2 linked regions of the Canis lupus familiaris genome follow. The protein of the gene in region 1 purifies or fractionates together with the protein of each later gene. This does not show direct contact. Links are inferred from orthologs where the notes say so. Each region holds a gene or a part of one and is shown in the gene's direction. Other genes may lie near its edges.

The links.
Region 2: the proteins of PTPRU (region 1) and GOLIM4 purify together in Homo sapiens (affinity purification with mass spectrometry; 3 studies listed by BioGRID and IntAct, counting the BioPlex papers as one, with this or other methods). This does not show direct contact. The link is inferred for Canis lupus familiaris from reciprocal best matches to the Homo sapiens genes PTPRU and GOLIM4.

What each region holds. Positions count from the first base shown.
Region 1 is NC_049223.1:70,750,317-70,766,258, reverse strand, and holds the start of PTPRU (receptor-type tyrosine-protein phosphatase U), read left to right. Parts: upstream 1-8,537; 5' UTR 8,538-8,620; coding exon 8,621-8,693; intron 8,694-11,336; exon of another isoform or gene 11,337-11,921; intron 11,922-15,942. Other genes in the region: MECR (enoyl-[acyl-carrier-protein] reductase, mitochondrial), read right to left, coding at 1,788-1,942.
Region 2 is NC_049255.1:33,049,428-33,063,984, reverse strand, and holds the end of GOLIM4 (Golgi integral membrane protein 4), read left to right. Parts: intron 1-5,604; coding exon 5,605-5,685; intron 5,686-5,986; coding exon 5,987-6,136; 3' UTR 6,137-7,730; downstream 7,731-14,557. UniProt on the Homo sapiens protein: Plays a role in endosome to Golgi protein trafficking; mediates protein transport along the late endosome-bypass pathway from the early endosome to the Golgi.

The sequences.
Region 1 (15,942 bases):
GTTGACAATTCACATACTGTTTTTATCAGCCACATGCAAAAATCATGGGTTAAGATCTAACAGAATTTTAGGAGAACATAATCGTAAAAGTAATGAGGGCTCAGAGAGGCTGAATAACTTGTGTAAGATCAAACAGCTACTACTGGGTGGAGTCCGTATTTGATCTTAAGGTCTGTAAAGCTCCCAAACAGGAGCTTTTATTAACTGGCTAAATGCACATATACAGTGTGATAGAGAGAAAGTCATATGAGATAGGATTAGAAGCTATGGGTCCCTGTCCCTGTCCTGATCTTTATTAGCTCTATCACTTTGGACAAGTCCCTTCTTGTCTCCTGCAAACTGAAAACAATGATCTCCCACCTACTTTCTGGGAAGTCCATTCAAATGGACATAAAAGCATTCAGAATATAGTCTCTCTCTCTCTCTCTCTCCCTCTCACACACACACACACACACACACACACACACAAACACAAAATAGAGCCTAGGAACTCAGGCAAATCAGTAAGACCTAGGTTTAAATGTTGACTCTGCCACTTACTGGCTGTGCGACCTTGGGCAAGTGATTTTTACCTCTCTTACAACTCAGCTCTGTCACTGACAAAATGGGGTTAAATCAAGTACCTACCCTAAACGTGAGGATTAATTGAGAGGATCCATTTGGACACACCCATTGTGTGCCTGACACATAACACCCGGTCAGTCAAAGTCATTGAGGGATAAATGGATAAAATAAATGTGGTTTACACATGTAAATGGGAGGCATATATATAAAGTAGTGAAATAATGTACATCATAATGTTACATATTAGATATATAAAATAATGGAATATTATTCAGTCATACAAAAGAATGAAATCTTGCCACTAGAGACAACATGGATGGACGCTGAAGGCATTCTGCTACATTAAATAAGTCAGAGAAAGACCAATACTGAATGATCGCACTGCCAAGTGTATTCTAAATAAACAAAAACCGGGGCACCCGGGTGTCTCAGTGGTTGAGCAGCTTCGTTCCGCTCAGGGCGTGATCCCGGAGTTCCGGGATCGCGTCCCGCATCCGGCTCCCTGTAGGGCACCTGCTTCTCTCCTCTGCCTTTGTCTCTGTCTCTCACGAGTAAATTTTTAAAAATATATAAACAAATGCTTTAAGAAAAAAAAAAAAAACAAATAAAAACCAATCTCAGATACAGAGAACAAACAGACTGGGGTGTGTGTGTGTTGCATAGGGCCAAATGGGTGAAGGGAGGCAAAAGGTACAAACTTCCTGTCACAAAATCAGCAAGTCATGGGGACCTTACCTACGGCTTGGTAATTACAGTTCGTAATACTACACTGCATGTCTGAGAGATGCTAAGCGAGCAGACCTTGAAAGTTCTTCTCCTCAGGGAAAGAAAAAAAAAAAAAAAAGAAAATCATGTATGCTGACAGAGAATTAACTGGACTTACTGTGGCAACCATTCTGCAATATTTACACATATCGAGTCATCATGCGGTACACCTAAATCGAATATAATATCGTATGTCAATTGTACCTCAAAAAAAAAAAAAAAAGTTAGCTACACTATTACCGTCACGACTGTGCCTCTCCGGCCTTCAACTACCTGGAAGCACCGACTTTCCGAGCTTCCCAACGCGCCGGGGGCTTCCGTCGGGGTCCCGTTACTCTCCGCCTTCTTCGTTCCCCCCCCCCCCCGCCCCGGTCCCTCCTTCGTCAGTCCCCCCTTCTCCACAGCGCGTCCTAACCCCCTCCAGCAACCCCTGGCCCCGTTTAGGCGCCGCCTCTTACTCGACGACCTTGGCTGGGTCCCCATGGTGCCCATAGATCAGCGCCCGGACCCGGGAGGACTCGGCAGGTGCGGAGCAGGGAGCGGCGGCAGACCAGCCGCGGCCCCAAGCGAGGGACGGGGTTCGCGTCCCCAACAGCGCGCCGCGGCCCCACATGCTTCCGGCAGAATCTCGGAGCCCGACAACGCGCTGACGTCATCCGCCTGCGCCCGCGCGCGCCTGCGCCTGCGCCCCGCCTCCCGCCCCGCCCCGCCCCGTCTCGTGACCACGCCCCTCGCTCCTTTTAAAAGGTCGCCCTCTTCCTCGGTGGCCCGCGCTGTGGCGCCTGCGGAGGCCGCGCGGGGGTGCAGGGGCGCGAGGTCGAAGGTGGAGGTACCCGAGGGAGTTGCGGAGCCTCGGCGCCGGTCAAAGTTGTTCTCCCAGATAGGAGCGTCTGAGAGCGGCCCAGCGCTGTGTCTGCAGGCTGCGATTCGGTGTTCGATTTGCGGGAAGTCATTTACCCTTCCCTCCCAGCGCTCACCTGTGCCAGACCTTTTAGGGCATCACCTCGCTGAATCCCTGCTGCCCTGGAACAGCACAGGGAGGCAAAGTTCACCTCCTTTACCAATGAATAGCGTCCGTGTAACTTGGTGTGGAGATGAGAGTACTCAGGCTCGGAGCTAGAAGATTTAGGTTCATCTCCTCGTCCTAAAGCTTTCTAGTTTGGCCACCTTGGGCTAGTGCCTGAAGCTCCCAGGCTATTTCCCCATGGGTCTGCAGGAGAAAGGTGCTCTGGAAGGAGCCCAGGGTGGAGATGGGGCTCTTGCAGGAAGTGCTGTTGGAGCCTGTCCTACTCAAAATCTTCAGTGTGCATAAAAATCGCCTGAGGCCACATCTCGAGCCTACTGAATTAGAATTTTGGCGACAGGTCCTGGAATCTACAATTCCTACAAGCTTTCAAGAACATTCTGATGCAGGTGGCCCAGGAAACAGGCTTAGGCAAACACTGATCCAGGGCTCTGAAGGATAAGGAAGAGTTCCTTTCTCTAGATTTTATTGACCCAAAACTTGCCAGCTCCAAGCCTTTTCTCTGAGGAAGAGAAGAAAGCAAAGTGCTCTCCCGAAAGCTGCCGGTTGTTGGATTCTGGCAAAACTGTCTTTGAGTCTTGGCTCTGCCATTTTCCAGCTATTGGATTTTGGACAAGTCACTTGGCCTCTCTGTGTCTCCATTTCCCTATCCTTAAAATGAAGGAAATAGTAGTATTTGTTTCAAGGCTGTTGTGAAGATCAAGTGAGCTATTATTCACTGGAAGCATTTAGCACAATTCTTGGCACATGAAAGCATTTGATAAATGTTATTAAGTTATTGTGAAGATTAGATGGGAAATAACATATATAAAGCACTCAGTGTTTTAGGGTCTGGCTCATACTATGTGCTCAAAAAATGTTTGTACCTGTTTTTATTAATAGAGAAAGTAGATGTCCCATGTTGGAGGAAAGACTTGGTGTTACACTTGTATGTGAGTGTGCATGTGCCTGACCATGCACGCACGCGCGTGCGCACGCACATACCCACAATGCCTAGTTTTGCTTACCTTCTGTTTTCACTGTGACACACACACAGATCTGTTGAAGATTCTCTAGGTGACACTGAACTGTTGACATTATCTTCTGTACCAAATTGGATCCTCTGAATTCCCTGGACAGCCTTGCTGGAAAGCCTGGAGAATCATCCAGCAGGTCTTCCTCCTGGAGGCTGGACTTAGTCACCACCTCATTCATCCCAGTAGCCCCCACTTTTCAGTCCAGGACACCAATTTTTATTTGAACTATGTCAGGAGCCTTCTTCCTAACTGAAATCCTCTCCCCCTACTTTCCTTCTTTTTTCCTTTCCCAGGCTTCCAGAATGATTTTTTAAAAAATATTTTTAAGTAATCTCTATACTCAATGTGGGGCTGGAACTTATAAACTTGAGCTCAAGAGTCACATACTCTACGTACTAAGCCAGCCAGCCACCTCCAGAATGATTTTTTTTTAAACAGAAAGATCCAATTTTGTGTTTTCCTTGCTTAAAGTTCTTCTGTGACTCCCCAGTACTTAGACCCAGAAGCCACAGTTCTTGGTAGGACACCATGAACTACTGACATGTTAGATTTAAAACTGTAAGAAAACAAAACAAAACAAAACAAAATGAAACCGCAATTCTACGCTATACCATTCTCTTGTACAACTGACATGTGCTAAAGTCTTCAGAAAAGTGACGGAGGAAAAGCACCTTCAAAAAAGAAGATTCTATTCAGTAGTTAAGTACCTTCTTGCAAGTTAGAAAGAGATGGCTATAGTTTTAATTTAGTGGCTGAACCCCTCAGCTTAGCTTGAGGAGCACCTGGTTTCCCCAGGACTTTTGCTGGAGAACTACTGATTGAGGGGTTCAAGTCTCGTTTTCATGGCCTTGTATCCAATACCCTCTACCTTCCGAGTCACACACTGTTTTTATCTCCTGCTATAAGACCTGCGCATAGCCCATGATCCAACAGCACCTGATACCCACCTTTCCTAGCAATTCCATGTCTCATGCCTTTATTTGGGTTGCTGCTTCAGCCTGAAATGCTCTTCCTGCCTTGCCTACCTGGGAAACTCCAGGCTCAGATATCATTTCTTTGATGTTGTTTTCCAACTTGCTAGGTAGAGTCAACCTTTTCTGCCTTTGTGTTTTCTCTGAACTGGTGTTATGGCCTTTAGGGCACAGTCCCTTATTTATTTACGTGTCCACTCCCCCCTCTGGGCAAGAGTGGGTCGTGTTTGGTGCATCTCCATGACACCAGTACCCAATATGGGGCCTGGTCCAGGGTAGGCGTCATAAATATTCCATGAGTTGAAAGTAATTGAATTTCCTCATGGCCTGGCCCTATCTGCGGTGCTGTCTCCTTTTCCCCTAGATTTGGGCAGGTCACTCCAGGCCACTCAAAGATTCTAGAAGTCTGTTATCCTTTTTCAAGTGAAGCAGAACATTCTTTGTTCATCTGTTCACCTGTTGCTTGTGTTCTCCTTCTCTCTCCCTGACAGTCTCTGCCCTGCAGTCTTCTATATAAAGAGTGAGAGGAGATGTGGAATCCATCAGGTCTAAGTTTGAATCCTGGGCCCACCATCCACTATTCTGTAAGTGGACAAGGTGCCTCATCCTTTCTGAGCCTCAGTGTCCACATACAAAAAAAAAAAAAAAAAAAAAAAAGGCATCAATAGTAAACTCCTGTCAAGAAGCTCTCACAGGAATCCCCTGCAAACAGCATCATTCTTGGCTGTTTCTTCTTGTCACTGGATTTCTCTTCTTGAGAAAAAAAATCTTTTTTTGTTCTGGTGAGTCCTTCCTGTCTCTTCCTTCTCCAGCATCTGTTTCTTCCCCATCACCTTTTTCTTGCTTCTGACTTTCTCCCTGTGATTCTCTCTCTGTCTGATTCTCTGATTCTCTGCCTCTGGTCCTTCCTTGCCTGTCTCCCTCGACCCCTTCCCTAGCTCAGCCTGTTGCTCATCTGGGCTCACAAGAGAGAGAAGCAGGAGCTCAGAAGCCTTCAGCCCTCCCTCCTCTAGGCCCAGGCTGACCTCACTTGTGCCACCCTCAGTGAGGAGCCAGCCTGCAGTGGAGGCAGTACACAGGAAGGCCTAGATAGATCTTGAACTCCTAGGTTCTGTCCTGTGTCACTACCGCTAGTTAGATCCACCTGCCCATGGGTCCCTCTGTTTCCATAGTCTGTTCCCCACTTGGTTCATCTGAAGACTTAAAAAAAAAAGTGAAAGATCAGGACTTTTTACTCTTCTGTTTAATGCTCCAATAGCCTCTTACCTCTCCTAGTGTTTAATCCAAAGCTCCATAGTGTCTTGCATGACCTGCAGATCCTGCTGGCCTCTCTAGTTACATCTGGTTCCCCTTTCTTCCCCATTCTATTCCAGCAACCCTAGCCTGGCTCTTCCTCAAATGCACCAGCTCCTGCTTTTGCATGGGCTGTCCCTTCTGGCCACAGTGTCCCTCCCCACTGATTTGCTGGCTCCTTCTCTCGCCTCAGGTCCTGGCTCACATGTTTACCATATCACTTCTTCTGGGAACCCCCTTTGAATCCTCTTAACTCAAGTAGGATCACCTCTAATTATTTATCAGGACATTCCTTCCATTTTCTTTAGAGTACATATCACAGATTATAACGACATATTTTGCATGTTTGCTATTGGTCTTTTCCCTGAGTGTAAGTTTTGTGAGGGCAAAGCCCATGTCTGCCTGTATTCATTCATTTGTACACTCAGTGTTTTTTGAGTTTCAACTACATGTTGGACATGACGTTTTGGGATACAAGACAAAATCCTTGCCCTTAGGGAGCTCATGTTCTGAGTGGGTGAGAAAAAAAAAAGAATATGTCATACGGTAGGTGCTTTGTTTAAAACTGCAATAATCTGCCCCCGCTCCCCTCCCCCAGCCTCCCTTCATTTCTCCCTTCATTTCTCTGGAATATTTCCCATATACCAGAAGCAGTGGTTTATCACTATCTCACATATCAGAGAATTTACTTGTTTGGCTGTTTATTGTTCTTGTTTTCTCACTGGAATGTAGGCTCCATGAGGGTAGGAATTTCTGTTTTATTTTTCCACCTTGGCTTATAGGAATTGTTGAATAAATGACTCACTAGCTGGGATTTGTTAATTTGTTCCAGATGGGAAGCAGATCTCAACCTCCATTCAGGTTAAGCCAGATGGCCTTGATTCAAATCTCAGTGTCACTACATACTAATGCACAACCTTGGAAAAGTCACCTCTCTGTACCTCAACACCCTCAACTGTGAAATGAGAATAATAAATCATAGTGGTGAGGATTAAATGAGTCCATGTGGGTAAAGCACATAGAAGGTGTCTGGACATAGTGATGGACAACAAGTTTGATATTGTATGAGGGCCTGTACTGGGTAGAGGCCCAAATATACTTAATCTGTGTAGCCAGATGTAGACTAGGACTGAGGAGAATTAGTGATGGAGGCAGACTTCATGGCATGAAAAAGAATAATTTTCTAAAAACCCACACTGTAAGAAGAAATAGATGAATTCACTATTACAGTTAGAGATTTCAACACTTTTCTATCAGAAATGGACAGAATCAGCAGGCAGAAAATCAGTAGGGACATGGTTACGCTCAACAACACCATAGATCATAGACATCCACAGACTATGCCCATCCAACAACAGCAGAATATACATTCCTCTGAAGCTCATGGGGGATATTCACCAAGATAGACCATATTCTGGGCCATAAAACACATCTTAACTTTAAAAGACTAGAACACCTACAATGTTGGCCCTCAGACCACAGTGGAATTAAACTAGAAATCAAAACAGAAAGATAGCTGGAAAACATCAAATGACTTGGAGATTAAATAAAACATGAATTGGGGGCACCTGGGTAACTCAGTTGGTTGAGTGTCTGACTCTTGGTTTTGGCTCAGGTCATGATTTCAGGGTTGTGAGATCCAGTTCTCATCAGATTCTGTCTTCAGTGCAGAGTCTGCTTGGGATTCTCTCCCTTCTTCTCCCTCTGCCTCTCCCCTTGCCCCTCCCCCTGCAAGTGCACCCAAGCAAGCACTAGAGCTCTCACTCTCTCTCTCTAAACAAATAAAGTCTTAGAAAATAACACATAGATCAAAGAAGAAGTGTTGAGAAATAAAAAAAATTATTTATTTTTTTAAAGGATTTTTATTTATCTTTGAGAGACACAGAGATAGAGATCTAGGCAGAGGGAGAAGTAGGCTCCATGTAAGGAGCCCAATGCAGGACTTGATCCCAGGACTCTGGGATCATGCCCTGAGCTGAAGGCAGCTGCTCAACCGCTAAGCCACTCAGGTATCCCTAAAAAAACATTTTAAACTCCATGAAAATGAAAACACAACTTGAAAAAATGTATGGGATGCAGCAAAAGCAGTGCTTAGAGGGAAATATATAGCATCAAATGCATATGTTAGAAAGGAAGAAAGATCTAAAATCAATCAGCTAAGCTCCCGCTTTGGAAACTAGAAAAAGGAGAGCAAATTAAATCCAAAGGAAGCAGAAGAAAGAAAAAACTAGAGCAGAAATCAGTGGAATCGGAAACAGGAAGTCATAAGAGAAAAATCAACTCCACCAAAAGCTGATTCTTTGAAAAGATCAACAAATCAACAAGCCTCTCCTCAGGCTGAGAAAAAGTGAGAGCACATGAGTTACCAATAGCAGAAATGAAAGAGGGGACATCACTACAGATCCCGTGGATATTAAGAGGATAATAAGGGAATATTATGAACAACTTTAAAAGCCAGCGTTTCGGAAGACCCAACTATCTGGTTTTGGTAGGCGATGAGCACTCTGTCCTTGAAGGTATGTGCATTTGGAGGGGCCTAGGTAGGAGGGCATTCAAGCATCAAAGGGGACAGAAGCAGGGTGTCTTTGGGTCTCTGTTCCAAGAGCGCTGTTGCAGAGCTAAGCGTGGGCAGCGAGCGTGCTGGCTTGAGAATGTCGGTGCTGGGTGATGAAGAGACCTGGCCCGGGACCCCTTGGGGGGGGGGCGGGGGGGGGCGGGCGTGGGGGAGGGGCGCGCCGGGGCAGCCCGAGACCGGACCGGCTGCAGAGCGCGAGGCTGCCGGCAGGGGGCGCCGCGAGACCGCGGAACCCGCGGCGGGGCCTGACGTCAGCGCCCCGCTTGCTTGGGCTCCCGCTCTGGACTCGGCGCCAGTCCCGCTCCGCGCCGCGCCGCTTCGCTCCGGCTCTGGCTCGCCTCGGGCTGGGCTGGGCTCGGGCTCTGGCGGCGGCACCCCTTGCGCCGGGCCCCGGGGCAGGCGGCGGCGCGCTATGGCCCGCGCCCAGGCTCTGGTCCTGGCGCTCACCTTCCAGCTCTGCGCGCCCGAGACCGAGACTCCGGCAGGTAAGCGCGCGTCGGTCCGACCGAGCTTGCCCCGCGGAGCCCCCGGGGCCCGTGGCGTAGCTCTCAAGAAAGTGTAAGTGTTAGGAGACCGGGCGTTCGGCTCCCTGCGTGTGCCTGAGTGCTGGATGCGCGATCGGGTTCTCCCGGCGTTGTGTGTATGCGAGCGTTGTGAGTCCGTGAGTTATGTGTGCACCAAAAGGTGCCGTGTGCGTTGTGCGTCCGCGAGCGTGTTGGGGGCATGTTGTGTGCATCGAGGCGCTGGGTGTGCGCCGTCTCGTGCGCCTGCCAGTGTGTAGTGTTTGTGCGGCCAAGTAGGTGGTGTGTGTGCATCTGAGTTTGGTTGTGTGGCCGGAGTTGTGTATGCGAATGTGTTGCATTTGTTTGCGTTTCGTACGCCGCGGGCAGGGAGTGCTGCCTGTTGTGTCCGCGCGGGTGCTGTGGGTTGGTGTGCTGCGTGTGACCGGGAGTGCTCCGTGGATTCCGTCCGCGTGTGCATCGGGGGACGCGCGTGTGGTGTGTGTGCTCGTGCGGTCCGTGTACGTGTGCGAAGGCGTGGGAACGGGTCCGGAACGCGTGTGTCCGTGCGCCGTGTGCGCGATGTGTACGTGTGGGAGTGTCTGGGGCTGCTGGTGTGCGCCGCCGGGGGGTCGCGTGGGTCCGGGGGAATGCCAAGTGTGCCGGGAATGCGCGTGTAGGAGCGGATGTGAGCGTGCGAGTGTGTCGCTGCGTGCCGGCTGCGTGTCCAGGAATGTGCGAGTGTGGTGCGCGCCTGGGCGGTGGCCGAGTGTGCCCGGGGCCCGGGGCCGCCCGAGGGGGCGGTGTCAGGCTGCGTGTGTGCGCGTGTGTGTGTGCGCGCGGGTGGCGCGCGGGCCCGGACCAAGTTGCCGCGGCGGCGCCCCCTCGGCTCCTGGGTCGGGCCGGGCCTGAGCTCGCGGGGGAGGAAGGGGCCCCGCGGCCGCCGACTCCGGCCTGTCGGGCTGTTTGTTGTTTCGCAAGTTCTGCGCGGCGCTGGCGGCCCGCTGCTCCGAGGCGGCGCCCGGGAGGCCGGGGAGGCCGGGGAGGCCGGGGAGGCCGGGGAGGCCCGGGAGGCCCGGGGGCGGCGGGGGCGGCGGGGGGGAGGGCGCCCCTGCGGGGCTGGCCGGCGGGGGAGGGGCCGGGGGCGCGGGGGGGCCGGGGGCGCGGGGCGGGCGGGCCGGGGCCTCGGCGGCGGGACGGCGCCCCCTCCCGGGGCGGGCGGGCGGCGCGGCGGGCGCGGGGTCTCCCGGGACACTCCCTCCGTGGACTCCGCAACTTTGCCGGGACCGCGGCGCGCGTGTACGTGTGCGAGCGTGTGTCTCGGTGCCGGTGCGGGGCTCGTGTCTGTGTGTCCGTGCGTCGGCCGTGCGCGTGTGTCGGCCTCCCCTCCCCGCCCCGCACCCTTCCCTGCGGCCTGAGATCCCAGCCCGGGCCCCTGCGGCGGCCGACTTGCGCCCCACCCGTGCCCCGGGCAGGGGCGGCCCGTCGTCCTCCCGCGGCCTCGTCCTCTCAACCCACCCCCCCCCCCCCCCGTTTGGGTGGCTGGAGCCCGGTACCCAGGGGCGCCGAGTAACGGGGAGACGCCCCACGCAGAGATCGGAGCCAAGGCACGTGCCGGGCCACCTGGGCCCGGAGGGACTCCTCCCGGCCTCCCCGACTGGAGCTCGCTGCCCCGCCGCCCCCTCGGGCCTCCCGGGCCTCCCAGGCCTCGCTCCTCTAGCTCCTGCAGCCGCTCCTGCGGGTGGCTGGGAGCTGGGAGCTGGGGCCCGGCTTCCTATCCGCCCCCCAAGCCCTCCAAGCCCTCCTCCAGCAGCTTTGTCCCCTCCCCCCACCCCGAGATCAAACCGGAGGGAGGGGTTCGCTATGTGCCTCCCCTCCTCCCACCGCGGCTCGATTGCGAGAACCCTCCTGTGCCTCACCCCCTCCGGGCTGGGGGGACTGTCAAGAACTGAGATTTGGGATGGAAGTGAGATCTTGGGCAAGTTACTTCCATTTTGGGGGTCTTGGTTTCCTCCTATGCCTTATGGGCATTAAAATAATGGGGCATCGTACTTGGTGGATTGTAGAGCAAGGCTCTGTGAGTGCCAGGGAACAAAAGATGGTTTTGAGGACTGTTGCAGAGCCCCAGAAGCTGTGATTTGAAGCCAGGGGGACCTGGGTTCAAATTCTACCCCTGCCACTTGCTGTCCTTGTGACCTTGGGCAAGTCACTTCACTCCTAAAGTTCCTGGGACGCTTGTAGCTATTACCTTTAGGGCTTCATTCATAAATAAATGCTTTGTAGAAGGGATACGATGTATCCTTGCCCCAAACCTGGGGGAAATCAGCCTGGCTCCCTGAATGCGTGGAGTCCCCTGGCCCACCAAGGGTGGGTGTGTGCTGTCTCACAGTCATGCAAATCTGGCAATAATTTATTCCTCTGTGTTCTAGCTCATTTTGTCCTTTTGCTTGCTTGCTGGGGTTGTGGACAACAGGAATGAGGGAGAGGCTGCCCAGTGGTTTCAGGTTGGGCAATAAAGGCTTGTCTGAGCAGCTGGCCCTTCTCCCTGAGGCTGGGGGGAGGAGACTCCACAGGATGTCCTGACTCCACCCGGGTGGGGGTGCTGAGTTCCTTGGCAGCCCCCTGCCCAGCTCAAGTGTCAGAGAGAATTCAGGGCAGGCACCTGCTTGCTTGAGGCATGCTGCCATCCTTCCATGCTGTCATCTAAGCTAAGCTGGACTTGTGGGGTGGCCTTTTCGTGCAGGGCTGGGCTAGTTAGAGTTGCTAGGGGTGCCTTGTGCCCCCTTCCTCCCACAACCCCCTTCTGTCCTCCACACTGTGCTTTCTCCCCAGAACTCTCTAATTCCACCTCTTCTCCTCGTGAACTCTTCTTGTTCTTCCTTCAGGTCTCAGCTAGGCATCACCTCCTCCCTGAAGCCTTCTTTGGTTACTCCCTGTTCTAGCTCAGGAAGGGAGAGTGGGGGTTGATTGAATTTTTTCATAGCATTGTAATTAGTGTAATTACGGTTTATTGGTCCTTTCTCCCTTCCAGATCATGAGCTCTGTGAGGACAGAGACTGGGTATTTAGTTCACCTCTGATTGCTTAGTGTCAGGTAGAAATCCTGGCCCAATCCTGGTTGCTGAATAAATGTGGCAAGAAGGAATGAATGCGGTCCAGTGGGTCAAGTTCTGAGCTGGAGAAGCCAGATGGGGGCGCACTGACTCCATTGAAAGTAAGAGATGAAAGAAATCCGTTTTCCCTCCAGGAATCTGGAAAATTCTGCCGAGGGATGGTGTTGTGTGTGAAAAGGCCACGTACAGAGTCATCTGGGAGCTGTGAGTTGGGGAGGTTGAGTCCCTGGCAGAGATGGAAGGGAGCAGACTCCTGCCTGCCAGCCCCTCCCCCCAGCTTCCAGTTCTGCCTCCAGCCCCGCCCCCCCAGCAGCTGGCAGGGCCTGTCCTGCCCTCAGGCTCGGCCTTTGTGCTGGAGGCCTCGGCAGGTGGTGGGAGGCTTGGAGTCCCAACCGTCAGTTTGAGCTGAGCGTCCTGGGAGGAGGGAGGGCAGGCCTTGCCTCAGTTCTCTTGTCCTAGATCCTGGAGTAAGGCAGGTGGGGTCCTGTGTCCTGACTGTGAGCTCCAGGGAGGGGAGGAGAGCCGCTCCCGGTAGTGCCCCCTGCAAGTGGGGTTGTGGGAGGTTGGCTGATGTGTGCAGGTGTGATCCTGGCATCTGGGCAGTCAGGATGGGGTGAGGGGTGTGTGTGTGTGTGTGTGTGTGTGTGTGTGAGTGAGTGATCGTATAGTTGTAGCCTGGGGCACAGGACATATGTGTGGCTTGTCAGGGTGTCTAGCCATCTGGTTACCCTGTGTGGTAGGATCTGAGTTCTGAGTTTGAGATAGGGAGGTGACCAGCTGTTTGGATCCTGGGGAGACTGCTGCTGGGGTGTCTTGGTACCTAAGTGTCAAATTTCTGCAGTTTGGGTGCAGATCTGTTTGGGCGGGTGGTACCTCAGTATCTAGGTGTGGGCATCCTAGTGCCAGGCTGTGGGAGGATCAGGGTGTGCCAATCTAAGGATGTCCCAGTGTCTCTGGATCTGGAGGTGGGAGTATCCAGGTGTCTGGCAGTCTTAGGTTAATGGGTGTTCAAGTACAAGAGTGTCTCTGTGTTGTGTCCACATGTGGGGCTGAGTACTCGGGTGTCTGGGTGTGGGGTTCCCAAGTGTCTGGATATAGGAGTGTGAGGGTATCTGTGTCCAGCAACAGGGTACCCATGCGTTAGAATATCCGAGTGTTTGTGAGTCTGAGTGGGGGAGGCGCCCTGTGGTAGGTGTTTCTGTCTCCAGGAAAGGGTGTACATGTGTTGGGTGGGGAGTGTCCTGATGACTGTGTGCTGCTCTGTACCAGGGCCTCTGCCAGCTTGGCTTCTGACACCCCTTCCCTGGAGTTTGTCTCCCAATCTCCCTTTAGACCCCAAGGCCAGGAGCCTCTGGAGAAGGGCCCGATGGTTCTCCTTCTCCATGCTGAGTCAGTCTAGAGCTGACTTTCAATAGAACTTCCTACGATAGAACTTCTAACAACGTTGGAAATGTTTCCTACCTGCACTTTCCAACATGGTGGCCACTTATGTGTGGTTATTAAATTTAAATTGCTTAAAATTCATGAAAATTAAAACCAGCCCCTCCATCACACTTGCCAGACCTCAAATCCTCAAGAATCTCGTGTTGCTGGTGGCTATTGTGTTGGTCGGTGCAGGTGGTGGACATTTGTATCTGGGCAGAAAGTCCTAGGGACAGTGCTGTCCTAGAGGTGTGAGGCCTGGACACCTCAGGGGGTGGAAGTGATCTGATTGAACCGTCGTCACTCAGCAGCCATGGAAGAAGGTTTTGTTGAATCTATGTCCCCTTCCTCCCAGCCCATCATTACTTGCCTGGACTCTTGCAGTAGCCCTCCTTGGTCTCCATTCTTCCATCAACTCCCCAGTGCTTCCAGCACCTGTGACCTGAATGATGTCTATTGGGCAGACATGGGATATTGCCACTTGCTTGCCCCAAGCTGAAAGCTCTCCAGTACCCAGGAATGAAACCCAAACCCTGTATGATGCACACCCCACTTTCTGGAACTGCTTCATGTTTGTGCCTCTCCTCCCCTGACCACATTCCTCCTTGTCACCTTATGATCTGGGATCACCGGGCCAGTGCTGATCCCAGAACCCCCCAGGCTCTTTCACACCCCTCTACTTTTGCACATGCTGTGCCTTCTACTGAAAATGCCTCTCCTGCCCTTCTTACCTTGTGGGGGCCTGCTAATCCAGCCTCAGAGTCCAGCTCTGTTATTCCCCTAGGGACACTCCTCACTTCCCCACCCCCTGCATGGCTTTTTCAGGTTTCTCCCATAAGGCATGTGGGATAGCCTGCTGAGTTGTTTTCCATCTTTTTTGCCTACTGGTTGGAAGTCCCCTGAAGGCTAGGCTGGGTCCTTGTCATCCTGTCCCCAGGCCTTTGTATATGGCTGGTCCCCACTCAGTGTTTGCATTGATGTGAACCCCTGGGTACACAGGGAAGGCTTGGAGTGGGTGGAGGGTGGTGCTGGGCTATCACAGATGGGGGCCAGTATACTCTCTTGGCTTGCTCTGGGCAGGGTTGGCATTGCCTTCAGAATGGCCAGGGGAGGACTCCTGAGGTGGACAGCCAACAGGCTCATGAAGTCTTGGGCAGATTCCCAGGGTGCAGATCCCAGGACCTAGTGGTGGATCAGAAGGGATGTGGAGAACAGAGACTCAGAAGGGTCCCTGAGGTTTTGTAGTATAGAAGCTGTGTAGGAAGGGCTGGGATGGGGGAAATTGGGAAGGGGTGTGGTTGGGGATATCTGATGGCCAGGATCACAGCTGGGGGCAGAGTAACAGCTGGGGGATGGGGGACAACTGGGCATGGGAGATAACTAGGGATGAAGATATATCTGGAGACGGGACAGCTGGGACCAAGGGGACAGGTGTTGTTGGGGAACAGCAGAGGGTTGGGAGTCAAATGGAGAGAACAGGAGAACATGGAGCATTTGGGGATAAGGAGGTGACAACTTGGGGCAGCTGGGTGGCTCAATCAATTAAGTGTCCGATTCTTGATTTCGGCTCAGGTTATGATCTCAGGATCGTGAGATTGAGCCCTGCATGGGTCTCCGCACTGGGTGTGGAACCTGCTTTAGTCTCTCTCTCTCCCTCTGTCTGTGTTCCTTCCCTCCCCTCCCCTGGTCACACGCATGTGCACTCTCACTTGATCTTCAAAAAAAAAAGGAGGTGACAACTGGGAGGTGTCAGAAATCTATGTGGATGACAAGGATAGATAGGTCTTAGCTGAGAGGGTGAGGGATACGTTGCTCAGAATGTGTGTGTATAGTTTATAGATGTGTACATGTGCACCCTTGTGGTTGCGCGTGTGTGTAAATATGTGTTTTACCTACAGTGTGATTAAGAGCCTGGGCTCTGGGTTCTAATCCCAGCTCTATCACTACTAACTGTGTAACACCTGGGCAAGTACTTGACCTTTCTGGGTCTTTAGTGTTCTCATCTGTGAGATTGGGGTCATTATAGAACACACTGCATGGGGTTGCCATGAGGATATATTTTATATGTGGAAGTATGTTGTTAGAACAGGGCCTGCCACATAGTGAGCACTGTGTAGGTGCCAACAGTTATTAAGCATGTGTGCGGGCAACCTGTGTGAGCAGAAAAGTTTGTTTCTGGCTTCTGATGAAGTCCAGGCCCCAGAGGTGGTGGTGGTAGGGAGGGCAGGAGTGACCAGCCAGGTTGGTTGGATCTGGCTTGTCTCTCACATCCTCCCTGCTGTTCATCCCACTTCTTAGTCACCCTGTCCCAGGGCCTAGTCCAATAGGTCTCCCTCCCTGTCTCTGCCCTGTCCTGCCCCACCCACACTGCCCTGCCCTGGGCTGGGGGCCAGGGGATGTGCTTTGCCCAAAAGCTTTTCAGTAGAATCTGAATTCATTGTTTGCCTGACAGCATGCTGGGGCCCTGCTCAGATATAAATACCTGGGCAATGTGTACAGTCCTGGCCTCCCATCCCATGGACAGCAACGGCTTCATCCCATGCCCTGGGAAAGTCACTGGGGTGGAAAATGTTGGGGTTTGGAGGACAGGGTGGAGGAATGAGTCCTCAGTCCCCAGTTGGTGGATTAGCCAGCCTAGACTGGCAGAGCTGGAGGCACAGGGTCTGGGTGTCCCTGGTGTCCAGTGCATCACAGCACGTG
Region 2 (14,557 bases), on another chromosome or scaffold:
AGAGGGATCAAGGATAGGGGAAAAAAGAAAGAGACATGAGGGGTGGAGAGTGGTGACAGGTCGACGTGAGGACCACTGCTCTTTGTCCCTCATGTGGGCTGAACCCACCAGAGCCCTTTACTCTCCCTGCACTGGGCCCCAGATCCTGCTTCTCCTTCTCTGGTTCCCTGCTCTGAATTCCTGTTTGGTGTCTCGGCCCCACTTTCTGACCCTCTCTTGCTCTTATATAGGCTCAAGTTTGTGCACCCTCCCATGTAGGGGTGCTCTCAGCCTGCCTTTCCCCTCCCCATCCCCAGAGGCCCTTGCACAGGCTGTGTTGCCTTCCTCAGGCAGTTCCTGAGATGGTCAGCTGTTGGATCTTCCCACCTTTTCCCATTATTCCCAGTTCTTCCCTGGAAAAGGGAGAAGAGTGGTTCCCAAATACCATTTAAGGACTAACAATAGAGATGCAGTTCTCACCAGACTGCAGCAAAATGAGAAAGAGAGGAAGGCAATATGTGCAAACCCATTTCATGTTGTTTGTAAGTGATGCACGTGAGACATTTGTGGGATGCTCTGAAGACCATGCACCACCATGTCATATGCGTCCTTATCTTCACTGAGCCTCAGAGTCTTCTAGCTGCCCCAGCAGACCACAGGGAGGTACGGTCCCCCTCCCGTCCATCCCGTGTCACCTGCCTTCCATCAGCATTTGCTCCTAGGGAGGGAGTGCGTCTTGCCAGGGCCCTCCCTGCTCAGAGGTATAGCCCATCACACTTGTGACTTGAGCTCAGAGAATAGGACCCAAGACGAGTGTGCCATTTGGAAATTTGCACTATCCCCACATTTTTTTTTTTTTTAATCTTGGTGCCATAGCATTACCCTTCTAAGACAGAAAAATGATGGTTATGAACAAGCGTTCGTGGCTTCTTGTTTGGGACATTCATGTGGGGATCCCATCCCTATGTTGCTTACTTTCTAGACTTTTTATCTGCTCATGAGTAAACAAGACAAATTATGGCATTTCCAAAAAGAGTTATGGGTGCTTAAAAGTGATTGAAATGCTCAAAAATATATATACGCTACATGACCACTTGAAAACCCTGAGTGCTCATTTTCTCCAAATATAATTGGAAATAGGTCCATCTGAACACTCGTGGGAGAGCGCGCACTAGGTTATTTGGTACATTCAGTGGGACTGGGAGCCTGTGGGTGCCCATGGCACAGAGCCGGCCAGGCAGCGCACACGTGACCCGTGACCCCTGACTCAGCCAGCAGTGGTGTCCCTCACGAGAGCCACTGGTGCTGAAGGCCTTTCCTTTGTCACATTCCATCCCCGTGTTTGGACCCCAGAATTCTGGACTGCTTCAAGTTCAGCCTTCTGGTCCGTGGTGTCTCATCCTATGGCATCTTTGATGTGTAACACCAAAGCCCATTTTGGCCTCAGTAGATCTGTCTTATTTTGACAGTTAAACTTTGCTGCATCATATAGGGACCATTTCTAAAATGCCCCAGACACTAGATTTCAGTGAATTCAAAATGAGTAATGAGGAGTAGTGATGTAAATCTCTGACAAGATGTTTGCATCAGCTTTATCAAGATGCTAAGGAGGGTCGAATGTGGAAGACCTAATTGGTGTGTCTCCATTAGAAAGGAGTAACCTTTGGCTTCTCTTTTTAAGTCTAAGTATCTTTGAAAATTAGAAATGCCGTATCATTTTGTTCCTTTTCAGTAGTGCCTTGTGAGATGAATTTGCATTACTTTTGTCCCAAACATGAAGAATATATCTTGTATTTATCAATAAATTTGAAAATCACAAAATCTTTATTTGTGGTTCTCTCTAAAGAGTAACTTACAGAGGGCTTCTTACCTCAGATTCTATTGACAGCTGGTAAACAACCCAAATTTTCTATAAATAGATCTCCAGGGAATAAAAGAAGGAATTTATGCAAGGGTGTTCATCTCTAGCCAGAAATGTTCTTAATCCCCTAGTCATTGTCACTCAAGCTAGTAGCTCTCACTATTAGCTGTGGCTAAGAGTCACCTTGGAGAGTGTGTGTGAAAGGCACAAATTCCTGGCTCAGACCTTACCCTTGAAGATTTTGATCTTACCTGTGGAGGAACCTAGGAATTATTCCAGGAACACACTGTTTGGAGAAGCATTCCTCGGACAGGTGGCCACAGGTAGACTCAGGGGAGTCTGAATCTCCTGAAACTACTGTGTAAAATGATGTGTATTTGTGCCTATGTACATACATTTGCATTTCTTCCCAAAGTCTTAAAAGGGCCCATGACCCCCCGCCCTCCCTCCCCCTGACAGAAACTTAAAAATCACTGGTTTTATCAAACCTTTTTATTTTACAGATGAGGAATTTGAGCCTCGGAGAGGTTGGCTAAGTTTTTGGAACTCACCAGCTTGTTATTGTTGGAACCATGATTGGAGCCCCCCCCCCCCGCCCCCCACGTCTGATTTTAGAGGCTACTGTACTTTAGTATAACAAGCACAGTAACTAAGTAATGGATACGGGCAAGTTCTTTGTAGAAGTTAGTGAATGCAGAAGGAATGGTGAAATTAGAGAGTCACCATTTCTGTAACCCCTAATTAAAACAAGTGACTTAGGAGCCAGTCATCAATGGATGATATCACTAGGTGAATGGAGGTCAGGGAATTTTATCATGGAGCATCCGGATGAGGCAGTTGCCTTCTGAGTGCGCTGTCCGACTTCAGTCTCAAGAAAAGTGGGACGAGTGTTACGTGCCTTTTGGTGTGATGAAAAAATAAATCTGCAGCATCACCTTTGAAAAATTCTTGCTTTGCAAATTGAATTCATGTAAGTCTTTAACTTCCTTTTGTAAGAAATGTGAGGTCTAGAGGAATGAGTTAAGTCATAACTTTAAAGAAGCTGGTGAGTCCAGAGTGTGGGTCATTCTATAGCAAAACAAGTCAATAGCATTAAGGCAAAAATGCCTTCCATCAGCATTTTCTCCTAGGGAGGGAGTGCATCTTGCCAGGGCGGAACTGATGTTAGGCATGGCCTTTGTTTGGATAATGATTAGGCTAAACCAGCTGTCAATAGACATTTTGAAGATAATCAGGAAAATGCTAAGTAGGAGCTAGACTTTAGATGGTACCATGGGATTATTTATCAGGTGACAATGGCATTACGATTATATAAGAAAACGACCTTGTTTTTAGAGAGACATGGTGAGGTGGGTAGGGGTGAAATTACAGGACGTCCAGATGTCCATGCTGTAGGCAGACATCCACAGGCTGCCAGTGCCACTGAACGTAGCCAAATAACCTTGTACGCGCTCTCCCATGAGTGTTCAGATTGAGCTATTTCCAATTATAGTTGGAGAAAATGAGCACTCAGGGCTTTCAAGCAGTCACTTAATATATATATATATATATATATTTGAGCATTTCAGTCACTTTTAAGCACCCATAACTCTTTTTGGCAATGCCAAATTTTTAAATAATAGGTCATCAAAAACATAAAGAATACTGATTGATAGGTCATGCGGGAGTGGCAACGTTGAGCTAACTTTTGAGCCTTGTGGATGGCTGTAAGGAGTTCAGTGAATTACTTGCCTTGCTTGTGCTTGCTTGCAAATTTTCCTAATAGAAACAAGTGACCTTATTTTTATACAGCCAGCATTTGGGAGCCAAGGTTTTAATCCAGGTCTGTCTGTCTCTTAAGCTCCGCCACCGGGACATGTAAATACAAAGAATGCCCTGTGCCTCTGTCCCCAGAATGTATTTATTGGATGCCATTGTAGTTCAGTGGCTGTGAGTCTGGCCGACACTGGGCTGATTAGAAGAAGTTCGTAAAAGCTGGGCTCTGTCTAGGGCGTCTTTGAAGGGTCATCGTTGTCAGCTCATAAGAAGCCAGGTTCCTGCCAAAGCTTGTGCGGTGGGTTGTGCTTCATTCCTGTCACACCTGGGCTGGACACCTTGAGGCAGCCCCTGATTTGTTCCTCTTGCATTGTAACACCTGCGTGCTTTCCTTCCCCTGCCCATTTCTGGGATTTTTAACACTCCTCCCCCACCAACCAAATTTGGTAATTCTCTGTGTTGTTCAGGAAGACCTACTCTTACACCCCTGTCGTAGGACAGGTTAGATTTTCTTGTAGTCCCAGGACTCCACATGACGCTTAATGGATGGGCAGCAATTTTTTGAAATTCAAGTGACTCCAGTCTTTTGGCATACATATGGTTTTCAGAATGGTTAAGCTAGAAAATATTTTACCTTGTATTTTTGTGGAATGTAACCATTAAATAGAGACTAGTCTGCAAAAATATTCGGACGCTTTCTTTGACCTGTGTTTTGAAAAAAATAGTTGGGACCCATGACAGATACATAATAGTAATGGCTAAAATAGAAATAGTGCACTTAAAACTACTTAAAACAGTAATAGCACACATAAAGGAAAACTACTTAAAACTACTTCTACTTGGGCAGCCCGGGTGGCTCAGTGGTTTAGGGCACTCTTCAGCCCAGGGCATGATCCTGGAGACCTGGGATCGAGTCCCACGTTGGGCTCCCTGCATGGAACCTGCTTCTCCCTCTGCCTGTGTCTCTGCCTCTCTCTCTCTCTGTCATGAATAAATAAATAAAATATTTTTTAAAAGAACTATTTCTACTTAAGTAGAAAACTACTTAGAACAATGAAGAGATGTAGGGATTTGGGGCAGTTTAGTAACTATTTCAAGAAGAAATTGAAATGCTTGTGTTCTGGGTTCTAGATATGTTAGCCAGAGAACTTTATATTCTTAATTATAGGATTAGATGTACACCTTTTTTTTTTTTTTTTTACTACATCATGTGCATGTAATAAGGGTGTCTGTTTTCTGTGTCTTTAACAGAGCAGATGTTTTTTGTGTTCATTCACTTATGCATTCATTGCCTCATACATTCATCAATATTTATTAAGCAGCTGCAGTGTGCCAGGTATGCATCTAGGCATGGAAGACAATTGAGTGTAAGAGAGACGGTTCTTTCCTTCCTAGAACTCACTTCTATCAGAGCCTTGAGACTTCTAGAGTTCCTCCATTTGGAAAAGGGGAGTTTTTAATTTTATAAGCTGAATTTCTTCAGGTGCTATACTTGCAGGATTAACACTTATTCAAAGAAATGAGAAATTCAGACACGTAAGTCCTAGGCTCTAAATCAGTGGCAATGATTTTTTGTAGGGGGTGTATTACACATCTCTCCATAGCTAATAGACAAATCAGGTCTCTGATTCAAAAAGACTTGTCTTTTTTTCAAGCTTATTTTTAGTTTCTGCTACTTATTTTTTTAGGATTCTGTTTGTTTATTTGAGAGAGTGAGAAAGAGAGTGCATGCACAAGCGGAAAGGAGGGGCAGAGGGAGGGAGAAGCAGACTCCTGGCTGAGCAGGGAACCCACATGGGGCTGGATCCCGGGACCCTGGGATAATGACCTCAGCTGAAGGCAGACTGACACTCAAACAGCTGAGCCACCCAGACTCCTCATTTCTGCTACTTTTAACGAACATTTTAGAAATCAAAATATGTTCTTGCATAAGAACGTATTATCATATGTTCATATCATAATATATTAAATGATAAAAAGGGTCACCTAGTATCTCTGGTTTCTTTCAGGCTCAGGAAGATTTGACTGAAGAGAAAAAAAGGGAATTGGAGCATAATGCTGAAGAGACCTATGGGGAAAATGAGGAAAACGTACGTACAGGACAGAGATGTCCACTGCGTGCTTGTGCATGTGTAGGAGATACGTATGGCCAGTTGGGTAGATACCAGTGGGTACGTTTCACGTGCTAGCGGTTTAACAGGCCAACCTAGAATTAGGAAAACTGTGACAGTATGAGGATTAGGAAAGACTAGCACTGCTGCGTATCTGAACATTTTTCTGCACTCATTTCCTTTCTCTACAAATGAATAACTTCACATTTTTTTAAAAAAAGGAATTATTTATATCACCCACTCTATCCCCTATCTCTTTGTTTTTCCTTTTATCTTTAAGGCTGATGAAAAAAACAACGATGGCGAAGAACAAGAAGTTCGAGATGACAACCGCCCCAAAGGCCGAGAGGAACCCTATGAGGAGGAGGAGGAGGAAGAAGAAGATGGGGTTGGGGCTGCAGAGAAATCACAGCGAAGAGCGGAAATGTAGCAGTGCCCCACCTCACGGACGGTGCTCAGCCAACGGATTATTTTCAAGCTGCTCAGAAACAAATCTGCCTACTGAAACTCTAGGATATTTAATTACAAAAATTAAAAATTTAGACTTTTTTTTAACTTTTGTATTAGAAATGCTCATACATTTATATGAATATATTTTGATAACCTAGGTTTAGAGCTTCTTTTATATTTAAGCTAAACACAAAGGAGAAGAAAAACAATAAAGCAAACCTTAGCCTTTGAATCTCATTTTCATAGATCATGTGATGTTGGAAAGGGCACCGATTTTGTATATTTCAGCTTGTTCCTTTTCTATCTTCTAGTTTCCAGGTGTTCGGTTGTTAGCCTTGAAGAAAATACAGGATTTCAAATAGGGAATATTGCAAAGCGCTGTGTAGCCTTTGAGGAGAATGGTCAGTTTATTAACTGCTGCCTTTCTGAGGTTCTTGCGTATAGTTCTGATGGAATCTTCGTCCCTCTGTCTCTGGAATAAGATCCACTGCAGACTGACGTACAACTGGAAGGGCATTTTGATTATACAGACGTTGTTTTTCAGACTCTTCATATCAGTTAGAAAAATGTTTGGCTTTACCTCAAATCACAGCCGTTCTGGAAAGGAATTGGATTTTAAAAGGAGATGGTACCTAAACTCGCGCCACAGTGTTCTGGACTTTGATATTCCGGTATTCAAACAAGATGGGACACAGCAGTGTATTAACCTTCTTGAAGGACTGACACCTTGTTTAGTAACTAATTTAGTGTGTGTGTGTGGGTGGTATGGTCTTCGGGAGCACACCCATTCAGTTCTACTGAAATCATCTAGTGATATCCTTGTTTCAATATCTAGTTCTCTACAGTAATATATGTATTTCCCCATCAGCTCTGTTCCTCATTATGTAATCTCTTTGATGACAAGTATGAATATGAAGGCATTTCAGATGATACAATTGAATAGGATTATTTTTTGAAAACTATACAATGAAGTACCCATGATGATATATATGATAGACCCTCATGATTTTTCTATTTTCAGGGACCCGGGCCTGTGTGATGCCCATGGATGGCATTTTAATGACTACAAAAGTCCCCTAAAATTAAAAAAAAAAATAAAATAAAAAATTTCTTTTGAGATCAAGACATATTTGTCTTTTTACATAAAGATTTTTAAATATCTAGAATTAGGTTATATAATTCATATGTGTGTGGTTTTTATAGTAATACACTCAAATTAGTAAAGACAAATTTAATTTCTACCATTGTATGAATGTAATGTTAGTTTTTAATAACCACACTCATGTATGGTTTTGATTATCCCGGTGGAGTGATTGTGTATGTATGCATAGGAATGTTTTGTTCAAATGTATTTTGGATTTTCAATAATCATGAATCAAATTTTACCTTTATGTATAAAAACCCTTTATGTAATGTAAAATGTATAATATTGTACATAATATTCAGAATACAATTATTTTGGTAAATTAGTTTGTATTTTTAATGTCCCAGTTGCAGTATTTAATTATTTGAACCACCTTGAAACTTGGTAATCATCAATAAAGCTATAAAAAGCAAGTGGTAAATCTTTTAAAGTCCTTGATTTCTTATTTCTGATCTTATTCTTCAGTTGTTTTTCATAAGGAGAAACATTTTAGGAGGCACCAGCCTATATGAATGAATTATAAAATGCCCTCCCCAACCTTTTCCTACTTTCCTTCTCTCTTTAATTGGAGTGGTACTTTATTTTCCCCCTTTTCCTAAAGAAAGAGCTAAGAATTGTTATTTGTGCTAGTTCTTGGGGAAGAAATGATAACCAGGTACAAAAATGTAAGAGACTATCATGTGAGCACACACAAAACAAAAAAACTATTAAATCCTCCCTTGGAAAGCAACCATCACGAGCCATTGTACTCTGTATGACACCAAGTTATAGTCCCATTCTAGCTAGTGTTTGGAAGAAAACTAATCAAAGTTGAGCTACATTAATGAGATGAGCAGAAACAAAATGTCACTTGTATTTATCTTGCCAATTAATCTGTGACTTTTGGTGCAGCTGATAAATCAAAGGATTTGGTCCCAGTGACATAATCAGAAGGGGGAGGAAAGGTCACATTTATTAGGGATGAGTACAATAGAACACAAAAAAGCTATGTTAGTACAATGTAATGACAAGATATTTCTAAGAGTGATTTTAAAAGATCCTGGAGTAAGAGTATCTTCTGAGCCACGGGTAATTCACAGCAACTCACTTCATAAAGGAAAATTATTGACATCAAATGCCTTCATGATGCAGGAGGTGTGCAAACTGTGCAAACAGGATCCACTGTATACCTATGGCGATCCTTTAAGGTTGATGGAATCCCCCATCTTACAGCTGAAGAATTTTGCCCTCCTGGAGCATTTGACATTGCTTAGCTGCCTTGAGTTCTTTGTTTTGTTTTTATTCCTACACTGTGGTGCATCCACGCTATGGCATGTTGCACAGCCGTTAACCAAAAAATAGGTCAATTTATATTCTTGAATTCTCTTCTGTCTTCTATTGGACTGTCTCTTCCTAGTTTTCTGCTTACCATCCTGGCTACTTTTTCTCAAGCTTTTCTTCCCCGCCCCCTCCCCCCCCCCCCCCCCCCCCCAGGATTTTCTGCTTCTATCTGCCCTTAAATATTAGTGTCCTTCAGCTTTTGTCCTGGAGGTCTTTCCTCTACAACCCTCTCCCCATCCATGTCTAAGACCCATGTTTCCTGATCCATTTCTTTAGTCCGGCTTTTGAAGACCTGTTCCACTTCAGATTTATAATTTTTAAAGCTGAATTTGTCTTTTTTCCCTGCCTAAAACCTACTTCTAGGTTCAGCATCTCAGTTCACTAAGTTTCCCAAAACAGACACAAAGCTTGTCCTCGATTCTGTCTTCACTCCCTACTGATGCTACCAAGATTTCTTTAAATTTGACCCTTTTTTTTTTTTTTCCATCTTTACTATCCTGGTTCTGGCTGTTGTTACCTTTTTTTACTTGGACTATTACAACAGTCCCTTAACCTCTCTCATTTGCTCTTTCCCACCAATCCCTAAAATCTGTGCCAGTGTGATTTTTCTAAAGATAACATTAACACTCCCCCATTATAAAGTTATTTAATAAGTTGCTATTCCACATAAGAAAAATTACGAACTCTTAAATATAACTTACATAATCATGATCTGGCCCCATCTTAGCTCTTCAACCTTGTTATTTTCATTCTAATACTGAATTATAATAAGTCTGGCTCGTCTTTGTGAAATACATTCCTCTCTTAATGTCTTGTAAGCCACCTTAACTAATGCCAAAGCTTGTTAATGCAGGATAGCTGGTGTCCATGTTCTCAGTCGTGTGGAGAAAATAATCTACAGAAGTAGAGAACAAACTTAACCCGCAAAGACAAGCAAAAATCACCGGCAGAGGTAAGACCTGTGGCATTTTTTTGGTCCTTATATCTTAACCATCCTTGATGCCAGCCGAGTCTACCCATGGGTTGATAAATAAGCAAATCCTACTTTTTCATTTGAGCTAGTTGGAAATGGATTTGTCACTTGCCATCTGAATATTCCTGACTAATACTTAATATTCAGTTCCTTTAAATCATGCTTTCCTGTATCATGGTAAATGTACTATGTACTCTCTGCAGAAAGACTGTTTAATCCTTTTTCTCTCTCTTCTTTGCCTAACTCATTGAGTTAGGTCTCCCCTTAGATACCATTTCCTTTGGGAAGGGTATACCTCCCACTCAACCCCTACCCCAGTCTAGGTTGCATACCCTTTCTATGTCCTTCTAGAACATCCTATATTTCATATTGCAGTACTCACCACAGTATATAAAAACAGCCTATAAATTTACCTATAGTCCTCTTGACATATGTTCTGTTAGGATGGAGACTTTCTCACTTACTGTTGCAACCCAAATACTGATACCTTCAATAAATATTTATGAGATGAATATTTTAGAGTTCTCATCTAAGAATATCAAGTATTTCAAGATCATACAACGAATAAATGGCAGAGCTAGGGTTCCTTCCCAAGAGAATCTGATTCCAATGTTAATTCCAAATGAAGCCAGGGTTGAATGGATCACTATCCAGTGTCACGTTCTGAGTTTCATATATTAAGAAGGTGTGCTTTAAATTCTGCAAAAACAAATCTAGTGGGAGTCAAAAATTTGATAAAGGAGCAAAACCTCAGCCATAGGCTCTTAAAGAGGAACCAAGAAATTGGAATTATTTGACCAGAGAAAGGTATATGGTCAAAAGAAGATGTAACATTGTATGTCTCTCTTCTTAGAAGCATCAACTGTAGCATGAAGAATAAAGAATTTCTTGAGAAACACATTGGTGGAGTTATGAAATCTAGAGAGGTTTTCAAATTAGAATCCATTAATCAATTAAGACTTACAAGAGCCCCCCCCCCCCCCGACCGCCCTCAAGCCAAGGAATAGATGAAATATTCTCTTAGAATGTCCCTGGGTCTTGTGACTGACTGCTGTGGGAGGGCCAGTTTTTATGGTGGAGTAGGCCATGTTTCATCCACTGATTGGCCTTTCATCTGCATACCATTCCCCTTCTGCTCTTCATTTGAAGAAAGGCCTAATCCTATAACCACAGACTTGGTCCCCAAACCAATCGTTGTGCTCCATCTGGGATTTCTATGAGGCTTGATAAAAGAAATGCTCTCTGGCTGCTCTGATGATGGCAGGAAACGTACATCTGGAGCTTCCAGGAGTCATACTCCTCATGACAGGGGGAACACCCAGTTGCAGCAGGAAGAAATGAAGCTAATACAGAATGAGGGGCTTGGGATATAAGGGAGGAAGAAGGAAAGTGGGAAAGGGTGAGAGACAGAATGATCAAGAGGATGGTATTCAGATTCCCAGGTTCTGACTTCTTTTGATTTCCCTCCGTCTTTATTCCCTTAGGCAAATTGGAGGTTCTTTTCAAACACATACAACCTAAAGAACACTGATTACTTCATATATATATATATATATATATATATATATATATGTATATATACACACATATATGTATATATATACACACATATATGTATACACACACACACACACACACACATATATATATATATATGCTTTTTTAAAATAGTATTCTGTATTAGTTTCATTTCTTCCTGCTGTAACTGGATATTCTCCATGTCACAAGAAGTATGACTTCTGGAAACTCCAGATGTACATTATATAGATAGAAGATAGATGATAGATGATGATGATAGATAGATGATAGATAGATAGATAGATAGATAGATAGATAGATAGATAGATACAGAGAAGAACAAGATTAGGATGAGAGGAAATACTTGGCATTAACTTTTCATCATATTGCCCTAAAGGTAGCAAGTTTTAATAAATAATGACATGTTTTTTTGCCAATCCCTTGATCTTCTTGTTTTTGCTTGGATCTGTCTTTAAGGCCCAGAGAATCTGTGTTGAAAGCTTTGGGATTATTTTAATGAAGTCAAGAATACTCATATATCCTCCTTCTTTAGTCTACACCAAAGATTGGCAAACTTTTTCTCTAAAGGGCCAGATAGTGAATCTTTTAGTCCTTGTGGAGCATAGAGCCCCTGCCACTGTACTGTAAAGATAGCCAAAGACAATGCATAAAGGAATTGGTATGGCTGTATTCCACTAAAATTTTCCATAAACAGAAAGCATGCTAGATTTGGCCTGCAGGTTGTAGACACCTGTTATATATGATCTGAATGCTTGCTGCAAAAATGATTATTTCAATAGAAAATAGAGCATTTTGAGATCTTCAGATATCACAAGCCCTTCTGTTTCTTTCCTATAATCCCTTCTATTTTAAGTTGGCAAGCACTCAACATTATCTCAGCTGCTGCATTTGTACACTATTTTAAGTAATTGGAAATGAAATACTTTTGTCCTTCACCATCTTGGCCGACCTTGTTCTTACCATTCCCTATATGTTACTAATGGAGCTTGAAATTAAATGTCATTTCTGTTTGTCTGTTAACACATACACGGAATTCTGTATAAGGTACATGCCTTTTAAAGAACTGATCCATTGGAAAACATGGGTTTGAGCAAGATGAGATGACTTCTTTTGGTCTGTGTGTTCTTTCTCCTTTTAAGACTTAAAAAATGGGAAGCAATTACCAAAACTGCCCATTAATACATTAATGATAATCCGATTTGTGATCTGCACTCCAAATGCTTTTTCAGGTTCTGTAGGGGTTCTGATTCCTGTTAAGTTTATGCATCCTGGTGGAATTAGACTTTTTTTTTTTCCCCATAAAGGCAACTTGAACATCTTTACATTCCCTTAGCCCTGGCCAATTACCTCCTGTGGTGGTTTTAAGGTTTTTCCACAAAATCTTTAACAGCCATCCCTTTAATAAGTAGAATCTAGTTTCCATTCCCTTGAGTATGGGTTAGACTTAGTCACTGGCTTTTAACAAATAAAATTGAAGGGAAGTGATGGTGTGTGACTCAGAGATTAGGTCACAAAGACAATGCAGCGTCTTCTATGTTCTCTCTTGGAAGCCAGGTACCAGCCTTATGTTGAGACTTACATTTGTGTGGCAAGAAATTGAGGCCTCTGGCTAGCCAACAACCAGTGAGAAACTGAGGCCTCCTGTCCACAGCCGCCTGAGTGAGTTTGGAGCAGAGCTTCCAGCACTAGTCTAGCCATCAGACTACGAGTTGAATGCAACCTCATTGGAAACCCTGAACCAGAACGACCCAGACAAGTCGTTCCCAGATTCCTGGACCACACAAACTGAGATAATAAATGTTTATTCTTTTAGGTTGCGGAGTAATTGGTTACACAGCAGTAGATAACCAATACATCTTCTAAGGAGTGTTTATAACTCAAAGTAGAGATGCCAGTGGTGAAGAGGATACACAGCTGCCTGGTAAACCTGGGTGTCGAGCCAGTTGCTTTGCTGGAAGCCACATCTAGATGCAATGGTGACAGAAGGTGAAGTTCAACTTACTGAGTTAAATAAATTGAACCCGGTTTATTTGTTCAAAGTATTAGATTATTTGGGGGCAGATATTAGTAGCCTCTGACACAGTGTTACTCAACTTGGATTCACACCTGAAGAATTTCTGAACGAGGAATACCTGGGCTCCGCTTCCAGGCACTCTGGATGACCAGCACTGGGGGGTAGTCTGGGCTTCAGGATTTATTTTAAATCCTCAGGTGTTTCTAAAGTGCAGCTAAGATTTAGATTAAGTTAAAAGAAGGAAAGAGTAATGTTCCTGCCCCAACATCTCCCTACCAGATGGTAAATTACAATTTAAATTCTGGGATTTCTAGATAAGGCTTGGCAAGAGAAATGCTCCCTGGCTCCTCTGATGATTAAAACAAGTCTCAGACCAACTCAGCAAAGCAAATATTTATAGGTAACCAGAACAGACATTAAGCTTCCCTGAAGTCTTTATCAAGGCCCAGATCCCCATCCTTTAGGCCTTCTAGACAGGCAAAAGGTGTGAAAGAGTTGCTCAGGACCAATCCTATAATATCCCAGGCACAGGATGGAGCTAAATTTCTGGCCAGATCCTGTGCCTGATAAGCTTACGAGGCCCATGTCTTCCTGCAATGGGCGCTAGGTTTACCAGGTGCACGGACCTCTCTTGGGCTGGGGGGAGGGGTCAGTACCTGTACAGCTCACCCACCTATTTTGAATACAATTCATTCATTTCTAGAATGAAAAAAAAAAAAGCATCTTTAATACCCATGGTACTAACAAAACAATGCTGCTTTAAGTGAAGAGAGTAAAAGATCTTGTGGTAGTGGTCTCTGGAGTATGAGACCACCAGTTTCCCAGCCCTGGATGCATATTAGAGCCACCAGAGAAACTTTTTTAAAAGAGCCCTGTCCTGACCCTGGTCTAATCAAACAAGAAATTCTGACGGCAGAGCCTGGACATTGGTCTTTTTATTTTATTTTGTTTTATTTTATTTTTTTAAGATTTTATTTATTTATTCATGAGAGGCAGAGAGAGAGAGGCAGAGAAACAGGCAGAGGGAGGAGCAGGCTCCATGCAGGGAGCCTGATGTGAGACTCGATCCCGGGTCTCCAGGATCATGCCTTGGGCTGAAGGCAGGTGCTAAACGGCTGAGCCACTCAGGCCGCCCTTTATTTTATTTTTTTTATTTTGATTTTTTAAAAATAAAATTTTTTTTAAATAAAATTTTTTAATTTTTAATTTTTAATTTCATTTATTTATTTGAGAGAGAGTGAGGGAGAGAGAGAGGCAGAGAGAGAACATAAGGCAGGGAGGAGCAGAGGGAAAGGGAGAAGCAGGCTACCCACTAAGCAGGGAGCCCTATTGGAGGCTGGATCCCAGGACCCTGGGATTATGACCTGAACTGAAGACAGATGCTTAACTAACTGAGCCACCCAGGTGCCCA